Sus scrofa: one gene and its partner. The protein of the gene in region 2 interacts with the protein of the main gene of each other region in a pairwise test. Links are inferred from orthologs where the notes say so. Each region holds a gene or a part of one and is shown on either strand. Other genes may lie near its edges.

The links. The genes of interacting proteins can lie anywhere in the genome.
Region 1: the proteins of HOMER3 (region 2) and PKN1 interact in binary tests that used the Homo sapiens proteins (3 or more experiments, as listed by UniProt). The two-hybrid records come from large-scale screens. The link is inferred for Sus scrofa from reciprocal best matches to the Homo sapiens genes HOMER3 and PKN1.

The regions. Positions count from the first base shown.
Region 1 is NC_010444.4:64,806,614-64,812,341, reverse strand, and holds part of PKN1 (serine/threonine-protein kinase N1), read left to right. Parts: intron 1-2,034; coding exon 2,035-2,144; intron 2,145-2,238; coding exon 2,239-2,382; intron 2,383-4,323; coding exon 4,324-4,399; intron 4,400-4,481; coding exon 4,482-4,623; intron 4,624-4,712; coding exon 4,713-4,806; intron 4,807-5,728. UniProt on the Homo sapiens protein: PKC-related serine/threonine-protein kinase involved in various processes such as regulation of the intermediate filaments of the actin cytoskeleton, cell migration, tumor cell invasion and transcription regulation.
Region 2 is NC_010444.4:58,918,385-58,923,625, forward strand, and holds the end of HOMER3 (homer protein homolog 3), read left to right. Parts: intron 1-1,067; coding exon 1,068-1,189; intron 1,190-1,682; coding exon 1,683-1,839; intron 1,840-2,186; coding exon 2,187-2,297; intron 2,298-2,405; coding exon 2,406-2,492; intron 2,493-3,620; coding exon 3,621-3,812; 3' UTR 3,813-4,090; downstream 4,091-5,241. Other genes in the region: probable ATP-dependent RNA helicase DDX49, read right to left, coding at 4,883-5,071, 5,158-5,229. UniProt on the Homo sapiens protein: Postsynaptic density scaffolding protein. Binds and cross-links cytoplasmic regions of GRM1, GRM5, ITPR1, DNM3, RYR1, RYR2, SHANK1 and SHANK3.

The sequences.
Region 1 (5,728 bases), about 5.9 Mb from region 2:
TGGGGGTGGGGTGGGGGTGGGATCCTGGGATGGCCCACCTTTGTAATATTGTAAGAAATGAATACATCACACCCACAAGGATGGATATGGTCAAGCAGAACAAACCAACAGGTGTTAGGGAGGATGTGGAGAAATTGGAACCCTTCTACACTGTTGGTAGGAATGTAAAATGGTGCAGCCACTGTGGGAGACAGTATGGCAGATTCTCAACTAATTAAACATGGAATGACCATTTGACCCAGCAATCCCACTTCTGAGTAAATACCCAAAAGAGTTGGAAGCAGGGTCTCAAAGAGACATTGGCACACCCACATTCACAGCAGCATTATTCACAAATGACCAAAAGGTAGAAGCAAAAGCAACCCGACGTTGATTGATGGATGAAGGGATAAACAAACTGGTTCATCCACACCATAGGATTAATATTTTTCAGCCTTAAAAAGGAAGGACATTGGAGTTCCCGTCATATCGCAGCAGAAACGAATCCAACTAGGAACCATGAGGTTGCGGGTTTGATCCCTGGCCTTGCTCAGTGGGTTAAGGATCTGGCGTTGCCGAGAGCTGTGGTGTAGGTTGCAAACACAGCTCGGATCCCATGTGGCTGTGGCTGTGGCATAGGCCAACAGCTGTAGCTCCAATCTGACCCCTAGCCTTGGAACTTACATGTGCCAAGGCGGGGCTCTAAAAAGAAAAAAAAGGGAAAAAAAAGGGAAGGACATTCTGACACATGTGACAATGTGGATGAACTAGAGGATATTACACTAAGTGAAATAAGCCAGTTACACAAAGACAAGTAGTATATGATTCTGCTTATATAAGTATCTAGAGTGCTCAGTGTCATGGAGATGGAAGAAGTGGTGATTGCTAGTGGTTGAGGGTGAGGGGGAGAAGAGAGTTATTGTTTACTGGCAACAGTTTCAGTTTGGGATTATGAAAAGAGTTCTGGAAATGGATGTGGTGATGATTGCACAACAGTGTGAATGTACTTGATACCACTGAGCTGTACACTTAAGAATTATGACCATGGTAAATTTCATGTTACATGAATTTTACCTCAATGTGGAAAAAACTAATACATACATTTTTAAAAGTGTGAAGAAAAAAAAGAATAACAATAGAGTAACCACCTATGTTACCACCACCTAGGTCAAGAAATAGAATTGTCTGGAAGCCCCCTCATGTCCCCTCCTCAATTCCAGCCCCTTCCTCTGCCCTAGAGGTAGCTACTCTCCTGACTTATGTTTATCATTTCCTTGCTTTTCTTTGTAGTTTTAGCTCCCATGTACACATCTCAAAACAGTATAGTTTAATTTGCCTGTGTTTGAACTTCATATACATGGAATCATACAGAATGTATTTCATGGGAATGGCTTCTTTTATTCAGCATTGTTTGGGAGAGTTATCCATATTGTTGCATGAAACTATATATAGTTCATTTGTTTTTACTCCTGTTTGATAATCCATTGTCTCAAAACAAACCATATCAAATTACTCTTTTTTTTTAAGTAAAAAATAGTTGAATATCAGCAGTTTCATGGTTTAGCTAATGACTGTATTATCACTGGTATATTAATTCTCTTGTTCATAGACAGTGAGATGTTCCTAGTTTAGAGTTATTGTATGAGCATTATATTTATGTATCTCCTGATGTTTACTAGCATGCATTTTTTTTAGGGTTAATGCTTAGGAATATATTACTGGAACTTGCATAGAGAATAAAAGTGAGGAGTTCCCTTGTGGCTCAGTGGATTAAGGATCCAGCATTGTCACTGCTGTGATTTGGGTCACTGCTGTGGCATAGATTCAGTTCCTGTCCTGGGAACTCTTACATGCCAGCAGGTTCAGCCAAAACCTGAACACACCACACAGAGAGATCCACTAGAGAGAGATTAAAGGACCCAATGTGAAAGGAAGAACTGTAAAGCTTTGGCAGATAGTAGAAAATCATGAGGGGAGGAGAGGATTTCTTTAATAAGATACACGAAGGATTACCCTCCTGAATTTCCTGACACCCGACCCCCACCTCTGTTCCAGGTGAGGTGAGCACTGTGCTCAAGCTGGATAACACGGTTGTGGGACAGACGTCCTGGAAGCCATGTGGCCCCAACACCTGGGACCAGAGCTTCACCCTGGAGCTGGAGAGGGTGAGCTAGGTTGGGGGGGGGTCACAGGGCTTGAAGGTGGAGGGGTTTGGGGCCTTGAGCACCCCAAGTGAAGGCCCTCTTCTTCTCCCTTGAGGCACGGGAACTGGAGTTGGCAGTGTTCTGGCGGGACCAACGGGGCCTGTGTGCCCTCAAATTCCTGAAGTTGGAGGATTTCTTGGACAATGAGAGGCATGAGGTGCAGCTGGACATGGAACCACAGGGCTGCCTGGTGGCCGAGGTACAGCCTGACCCTGATCCTAAGAAAATGTTTTTTGCATCTCCTGCTCTCAGTTTTCTAGAAGGGGAAGTTATGTTTTGCATTGGTCTCTGAACCTTGATAGAAAAGTACATGTAATTAGTCACATCAGTGTATGACTTAAGCTGGGACTGATTTTTGCTTTGAAGCAAGATATTAAAAAGAAGGAGGAGGAGTTCCCGTCGTGGCTTAGTGCTTAATGAACATGACTCCATAAGGCTTCAGGTTCGATCCCTGGCCTCGCTCAGTGGGCGTTGCTCTGAGCTGTGATGTAGGCCACAGACATGGCTCAGATCCAGTGTTGCTGTGCCTGTGGTGAAGGATGGCAGCTACAGCTCCAATTTGACCCCTAGACTGGGAACCTCCATATGCCATGGGTGCAACCCAAAAAAACCAAACAAAAAAAAAAAAAAAAAGGAGGAGTACCCATTGTGGCTCAGCGGTAACAAACCCAACTAGGAAAAGAAAAAGAAAAAAAGAGATAAAAAGAAAAAGAAGGAGTTCCCATTGTGGCTCAGCAGGTTAAGAACCCAACATAGTGTCCATAATGATGTGGATTTGATCCCTGGCCTCGCTCAGTGAGTTAAGGATCCAGCATTGTAGCAAGCTGTGGCACAGGTTGCAGATGTGACTCAGTTCTGGCATTGCCATGGCTGAGGCATAAGCCAGCAGCTGCAGCTTCAATTCAGCCAGCAACCTGGGAACTGCTATATGGTGCAGGTGTGGCCATAAAAAGAAAAAAAAAATAAAAACATTAGTAAATCTTCACTAATTCCTAACATGTAGGGTTTTTGTTTTTTTGGGGTTTTTGTTTTTGTTTTTGTTTTTTTCTTGAAAAAACATCCAGAAAAAGTCAAACTATTCAAGGGCTATTTTACTACCCAGGGAGGAATTTTTATGTGATCTCACGATCAAGGACCTCTGAAGGAAAGGAGCCGAGAAAGGCTGGCTTCAGGTGGCCCTGAAATTATTCTTCTGTTGGGAAGACTGTCCAAAACCCAACTGGCGAATGGTGGTGGGTAGCCCGGGGGACAAATTCTGAGACAGTCCTGCTTACCTTCAAGGTTTATAACATTCTGTTTTTCTTATGCCTCCCCCAAAGCACCATCCTGTAGAATTTTCTGCAGTTCTGTTGTCCATGAGCCTACAATAGTTGAGTTCTATTGTAGGTAGAAATGTTCTATATCCATGTCATCCAATATAGTAGCCACTGGCCACTTGAAGTATGACCATTGCAGCCAGGGAGCTGATGTTTTCATTTTTCTTACATTTTCCTTAAATAGCCACATGCGGCTTGCAGCTTGCGGCAACTGTACAGGACACCCATAAAGTCACACAGTTCTGTGACTTTAGCACCTTCTAGAAGATGTGTTAGTTGGGAGAATTCAACTAGAGCAGTGGTTTCCCCCACCTTGGTGGACACCAGCATTACCTAGAGGGCTTGTTGAAACACAAATTGCTGGGCCCTACCCCCACCACCACCACCAGTATTTTTGACTTAGTGGGTCGAGGTGGGCGGGGGCCCTGAGAATCTGCATTTCTAGCAGGTCCCCAGGTGATGCTGATGCTGTTGGTCTGGGACCGCACTTGGGGAATCAGGATACTAGATCGATCAAGCATAGGGCCTGTTTGCTGGACTTGTATGTATGTCTCATTGGAGCAGACCCGCTGCCCACCCCAAGGGGAGGGCCTGCTCACCTGCTGCTTGCCTTTCCAAGATGGCACTTCAGGAGGTGGCCCTGTTGAGGGATGGCTTGGTTTTACCACCTCTTAATAGAGTGCGTAGGATTCTGTAGCTGGACACGATGCCACAGTGATTGGAAACCCTGAAACATCCGAGGATGCGCACCTATGCTTCTAAGGGCTCCTCCACCACACTGCCCGGAGGTGGGCGAGGGTTCTGACACTGGCTCCTCCCCTCAGGTCACTTTCCGCAACCCTGTCATTGAGCGAATACCCCGGCTCCGACGGCAGAAGAAGATCTTCTCCAAGCAGCAAGGTAAGGAGTTGGGCCAGGGCAGGGGAGAGACCAGGGGTCCTGAGGGCGTCACGGAGGCTGACACCTGCCCCCATCCGCCCAGGGAAGGCCTTTCAGCGTGCTAGGCAGATGAACATCGACGTCGCCACCTGGGTGCGGCTGCTTCGCAGGCTCATCCCCAACCCCTCGGCCATAGGCACCTTCAGCCCGGGGGCTTCCCCAGGACCTGAGGCTCGGTCCACAGGGTAAGGAGGGAGGGCCCCGGGGTTCCAGCTGCCCCTGGTTGCCTCCCTGGGTGCTGGGTCTTCATGCACCTTCCTCCCTTGTGCTGCAGTGACATATCTGTGGAGAAGCTGAACCTCGGGACTGACTTGGACGGCTCGCCCCAGAAGAGCCCTCTGGGTCCTCCTTCCAGCCCATCAAGTCTGGTGAGCTTCCCTCTTGGCCTGGGCACTGTCAGGAGGTCTTCTTCCCAGCTTGAGTCCCAGAGACTGCTAGGACCTCCCCTAGGTCACACAGCACATCCCTGTCAGAAACAGGGTCCTATTCTCTATCCTGGATAAAAACATGAGCTCAGTGGTTCAAGGATCCAGCATTGTCACTGCTGTGACTTGGATTACTGCTGTGGCACAGGTTCAGTCCCTGGCCCAGGAAATTCCACATGCTGTGGGCATGTCCAAAACGGAAAAAACAAAACCTGTAAGTCCTGTCCCTGCCATGCTGCCTCTAAGCTGTGTGACCCACACCAAGCCACTTCAGCTCTCTGTGCTTAGTGTATTGCCCTATAGAATGAGTATGTTTAAAACGTCAATGACAGAAGTCAAGATAGTGGTTCTCTTGTGGTGGGGGGGGGGCGGTTACTGATAGGAAGAGGACACGAGAGCCTTCTAGGATGATAGGAATGTCCTGCATCTTGATCTACGTCAGAGGTCAGCACATTTTTTTCTGTAAAGGGCCACATAGTCAATGTTTTCAACTTTGTGGGCCAGAAGGTCCTAGTCACACTATTCAATACTGCTGTCCTAGAAAGTCGCCACTCAGACAGACGTGAAGGGGTGTGGCTGTGAGCCAGGAAAGCCTTACTGAATGTATATTACTTTCATGTATCGTGAAATATTCTTCGTCTTTTGATCTGTTTTCCCCAAACCCTTTAAAAACATAAAAATCATTCTTAGCTAGCAGACTATACAAAACATGGAATTTGTCAACCCCTGGCCTGGACGATGGTTCCATTTCCCACCTCATTGAGTGCATTTTCTACCTCATTTTTTTTTTAAAATGGAGAAGTTCCCATTGTGGCTCAGTGAAAAGGATCTGAGTAGTATCCATGAGGATGCAGGTTTGATCCCT
Region 2 (5,241 bases):
GTACCGGTGCCCAGGACCAAATGCTCACAGATGATATAAAGCTAGATCAGTGCAAGGACCATGGAAGAGGGGTGTGGGTGCTATAGGAACATGTCAGCATGGTCCTAGGGGGTCTGTCCTAGCCTCAGATTAGAATTAAAGGAACTCCTGTTGTGGCTCAGCAGAAATGAGTCTGACTAGTATCCATGAGGACGCAGGTTTGATCCCTGGCCTTGCTCAATGGGTTAAGCATCCAGCATTGCTGTGAGCTGTGGTGTAGGTCGCAGATGCAGGTCAGATCCCGTTTTGCTGTGGTTGTGGCGTAGGCCAGTGGCTACAGCTCTGATTAGACCCCTAGCCTGGGAACCTCCATATGCTGCGGGTGTGGCCCTAAAAAAGACAAAAAAAAAAAAAAAAAAATAGAAGAAGGCCAGAGAACCAGCTCACATGGCAGAGTTGAGACATGGAAGTTGAAACGGCTAAGTAGAGGAGCAGAGTAAAAAAAAACTGTCCCTGGGCATTTCCCCCACTAATTTATTTATAATTTATCGACCACCTACTGTGTGTCTCACCCAGGGCTGGGCACTGGGGTTAAGGAGATGAAAAAGTTGGCTGGTCCCCCAGGGCTATGGTCCTGGCAGCAAGGGGATTCATAATTAATCCAGCCTGATGGAGTGAGTTTCCTGTAGGAATCTTAAATTGATGTTGAAATTTGGCCCCAGGGAAGGTCAATGCTATGAGGGAATAACAGGGAGGCTTCAGATTGCAAACCCCGCCTCCCCTTTGCAGATTTTGAGTATCTCCCTGTGTTTAGGCTGGCCCGCCTCAGGGTTGCTCCCCTAGGGAGTTGGTGAGAGCCCAGCGGGCCATGTTGGGGCAGGGCCCAGAACTCCAGCCCAGAGGGCAGGGGCTCCATGGACGGTAGGTGAGGAGGGGAGAGGCGCAGTCAGATCCCAGACCTGGGAAGGGTCCCCTGCCCTGTCACGACCCGAGCGATTAACATCAACCCTGATCCCAATAATGCCCTTCTAACCAGCCCTTGACTGAAGCCACCCCCACTGTGTCCTTACTTCTGCCCACACCCTTAGGTGCCCCCGAGCCCCCTCGTCAGCGCCAACGGCCCCGGCGATGAGAAGCTATTCCGCAGCCAGAGCGCGGACGCCCCGGGCCCCACTGAGCGTGAGAGGCTCAAGAAGATGCTGTCCGAGGGGTGAGGCGGGGCACAGGGGTGAGGCAGGACGAAGGGGAAGCGGGGGAGAGGAGGTTCCCAGAAGCTGTTGAGACTCGTTCAGGCGGCGGAATCTAACAGTGGACCCAAGGCTTGGGGTCGGGGAGGAGACACCCAGATTATGCTCCTACAAGAGCCAAACCCAGTCCTGCATCTTCCATATCTCGGGCTAACCCCGGCCGTCCACGCCTCCTCCAGCTAATTCTAAACCCACGGGTGCCTCCCTACCCCCACCTCATTCTGTCCACGCCCCCCTGGGCTGATCCTGCTCGGCATTCCGACTGCGTCTCTCAAAACTGACCAGCGCCTCCCCGCCCGCGCAAGACCCCGCCTCCCCCGGTACCTTCCCACCCTGTAGCCTCGAGGTATCTTGACCCCGCCCATAACTACGCCCCCTAGCACAGCACCGCCCTCACCCGGTCCTCCGCCCAGTGAGGCCCCGCCCTGCCCTCTGCTGACTCCAGTGTTCCCGCAGCTCGGTGGGCGAGGTGCAGTGGGAGGCCGAGTTCTTCGCGCTGCAGGACAGTAACAACAAGTTGGCGGGCGCCCTTCGAGAGGCCAACGCCGCCGCCGCCCAGTGGAGGCAGCAGCTGGAGGCCCAGCGCGCAGAGGCCGACAGGCTGCGGCAGCGGGTGAGGGAGCCCCTCCCTCCCAGAGACCCCAAGTGGTCCAGGCCACTGTGAAGTCCCTGCGCCCTGTCTGTCTCGGGTCCGCTGGCTGGCTGTGTGATCTCCGCAGGTCTCTTCCCTGACCTGAGCCTTAGTTTTGTGCTCTGTAGTATGGGTCTGAAATAATGTGAGCCTCAGAGGGTTGTCCTACCTTTAGGACCCTAAAGTCTCATCTGCCAGAGTCAGGGTGGTGGCCCCAAATAGAAGGGGTGAGTGCCCAGTCATGGGCTTGACTGATCAGGAGGCATATTCCCCACGGGTCAGCAGAGTACAGACTGGGGGTCAGGGAACTGACCCTCCTATCTTTGCAGGTGGCTGAACTGGAGGCCCAGGCTGCCACTGAGCCACCCACAGTCACTGAGAAGGAGGGGCCGGGCCAGTCTCTGGAGCAACTGGAGGCACTAGTGCAAACCAAGGACCAGGTGTGTGAACTGTCTGTGTGCATGTGTGTTTCCTTGGACTTTGCCTTCCCTGATCTCCTATGGGGGAGCCAGGACCCTCAGAACAGATCCTGGGAACTTCTCCACCAGGAGATCCAGACGCTGAAGAGCCAGACTGGTGGGACCCGAGAGGCACCAGACACCACCGAACGTGAGGAGACACAGCAGAAGGTGCAGGTGTGTGTGGTTGCTGTGAGGGTGGGATGACTGCCTAGGGCCCCCAGCCCCTGGTATGGGACAGACATGGGATCTCCCTTTCCTGGTGGGTTCTGGGCAGCTATGTGCTTCCCTGAGCCTCAGTTTCTTCATCTATGAATGCAGTCAGGAAGACATCTAAGGTTGTGAAGGATTCAGGTGACCAGGTACATGGAGGGATTGAGTCACAGTGGGTGGTTTATAAGCAAGTTATTAGTATAATATTTCATCTCATTCCTTTCATGCAACCAGCAGTTTTGAGTTTGTTTTGTTTTTTTTGTTTGTTTTTTGCTTTTTAGGGTCACAGCTGCAGCATATGGAAGTTCCCACGCTAAGGGACAAACCAGAGCCACTGCTGCCAGCCTACCCTACAGCCACAGCAGTGCTAGATCCGAGTCACATCTATGGCCTACGCAGCAGCTTGCAGCAACGCTGGATCCTTAACCCACTAAGCAAGGCCAGGAATCAGACCCACCTCCTCATGGATACTAGTTGGGTTCCTAACCCACTGAGCCGAAGCAGGAACTCCCAACAAGCAGTTTTTGAATCTCTGTTGAATCTCCATTCTTGACCCCATCAAATCCTCACACATCCCCAGCCTGAGGTTGGGAGCCTTCATTTGTACCCATGTGCGGCTGGCCTGGCTTTCACTGAAGACTTTATCTGAGAAATGTTCCTGGGGGCATGTCCTGTGAGTCCAGCAGGTAGAGAACTTAGAGGATCTCTTCTGCCCCCAAAGAGAGAGAAATTGGGAGAGGGATGCTCCCTGTTTTCTTCTGGGCAGAGTGTTCAGCATGTGCAAAGGCCCTGGGGTGGGGTGGGGGAGTCATTATGTTCAAGAAACCACAAGGAAGCCAGCAAGGCTGAGTTGGAATGAACAAAGAGAGGAAAGAGGGCTATGTATTTCATTCCCAGCGTGATAGGTGACAGGAGAGTTTTGAATAGAAGAGGAAAGTGGTCAGTTCAATGATGTTCAAGTTGGCAGGGGGACCAGGGAAGCCAGGTGACATAGAAGGTTTGGCCCAGAGTGGAGGCTGTGGGGATACCATTGAGATGCTGGACCCTTCAAACTTGCTGGGGCCCCCAACCCTGCTTGCCCTCTCCCTGCAGGACCTGGAGACCCGAAACGCGGAACTGGAGCACCAGCTGCGGGCAACTGAGCGCAGCCTGGAGGAGGCTCGGGTAGAGCGGGAGCGGGCACGGGCCGAGGTGGGCCGGGCCGCGCAGCTGCTGGACGTCAGGCTCTTTGAGCTGAGTGAGCTGCGGGAGGGCCTGGCCCGCCTGGCCGAGGGCGCGCCCTGAGTCTGCCTCCGGGTCTACGTGGGGGCAGGGGTGCCCACGGGAGCTGGTTTTACATGAACGATTCCCGCCTGGGGCACGGGCCAGGCCGCAGGCGGCACAGTGGGCCATTCACCTTGACAGGGACTGGGGCCCAGCTCAGCCTGGGGAAGGCCTGTCCACCGTACTCTAGTCAGCCCCGGCTGTTCACAGCTCGGAGGCTGTTTTTGAGCTTTTCATTGTGTAGAATTTCTAGACTCCCTGGGGTGCATACCAGTGCCCACATTACATTTCTAAGCGTGGCTGTGTGTGTGTGGTGTGTGAGCCATGGGTACCTGACCGCCGTCACTGGGCCCTCTGTCCGCCCTCAGTCTGTATAGGGCTTGGTAAGCCATTTGGAGGGCTCTGCCCATGTTTTCTGGACCAGTTTGGACTAAGGCAGACCCTGCTTAAGCCTGCCCCCCTTCGCTCTGGCCATAAACCCCCAATGCCACCAGGTGGGCGGGTGGGGAAGCTCCTAGAACATGGCTGTGTTCGCTAGCATGTGATCTCGCCTAAACCTCACATCTGCATCTGCAGAGTAGGGCACTTGCTGTTCCCATTTTCCAGATGAGGCCCATATAAGGGGCTTCACCAACCCAAGGTCACCTAGCTGGAATGGTCAGCCCTGCAGTTCAAAGCTTTGGGGCTGGTCCAGCAGAATGAAGAACTTGAGGGGAGGGGTGGGGGCGACATGATGTTCTGAGGGGCTGGAGAACCACAGGCGGCCACACCCTCCTCCCTCTGCCCCCTCTCCCTGAGAGTCCTACCAGGAAAGTCAAAAGATCCATTTATTGAGCATCTCCTGCAAGTGACACGCCTTCGCTCTGTGGCCCCACTGCACACCCAGGGTGACACTGGCTTGGGGTCACTGTATGTGGACTTGGGCCCAACCTCATGGCCAGTGTTCTTTCCTCCTCTGCAGGCTGCCTCTTGGCCAAGGCTCTGAAAAGGGGCCACCAGGGGCTACAGGATGGAGGGGCCGTGCACTGCACAACGTGGGTGTCCGTGGGCTCCACCGAGGGAGACTGGGCACAGTGGGAGTGGTGTGGAACTCAGGCTGGGCCCTGAGAGGGTGCTGGAGATGAGTGGGCCCTGGGCTGGGCCCTGGGTGGACAGCCCCCGTGGCCAGCCCTGCCAGCCTTCTGCCGCTGCAGTGCCTGCTCCACTTTCTCCTTGAAGCGCCGGTTCTTCTGCTTGATCTTGGCCAGCTCCGCCTTGCGCTTGGCCTCCAGGTCCGGATCCTGACACAAGGAGGACCAGAAGGTGGCTAAGCTGATCATCCCCGGGGAACCTTCCCCTCCCCTCCCCCAGCCAGCTCAGCCCTCACCTTCCCCTCCAGGATCATCTGCTTCCGCTTGTTAATCTCCTTCTTCTCATCAAAGTTGGCCGCCTCCAGTTTCTGGGGGGCAGG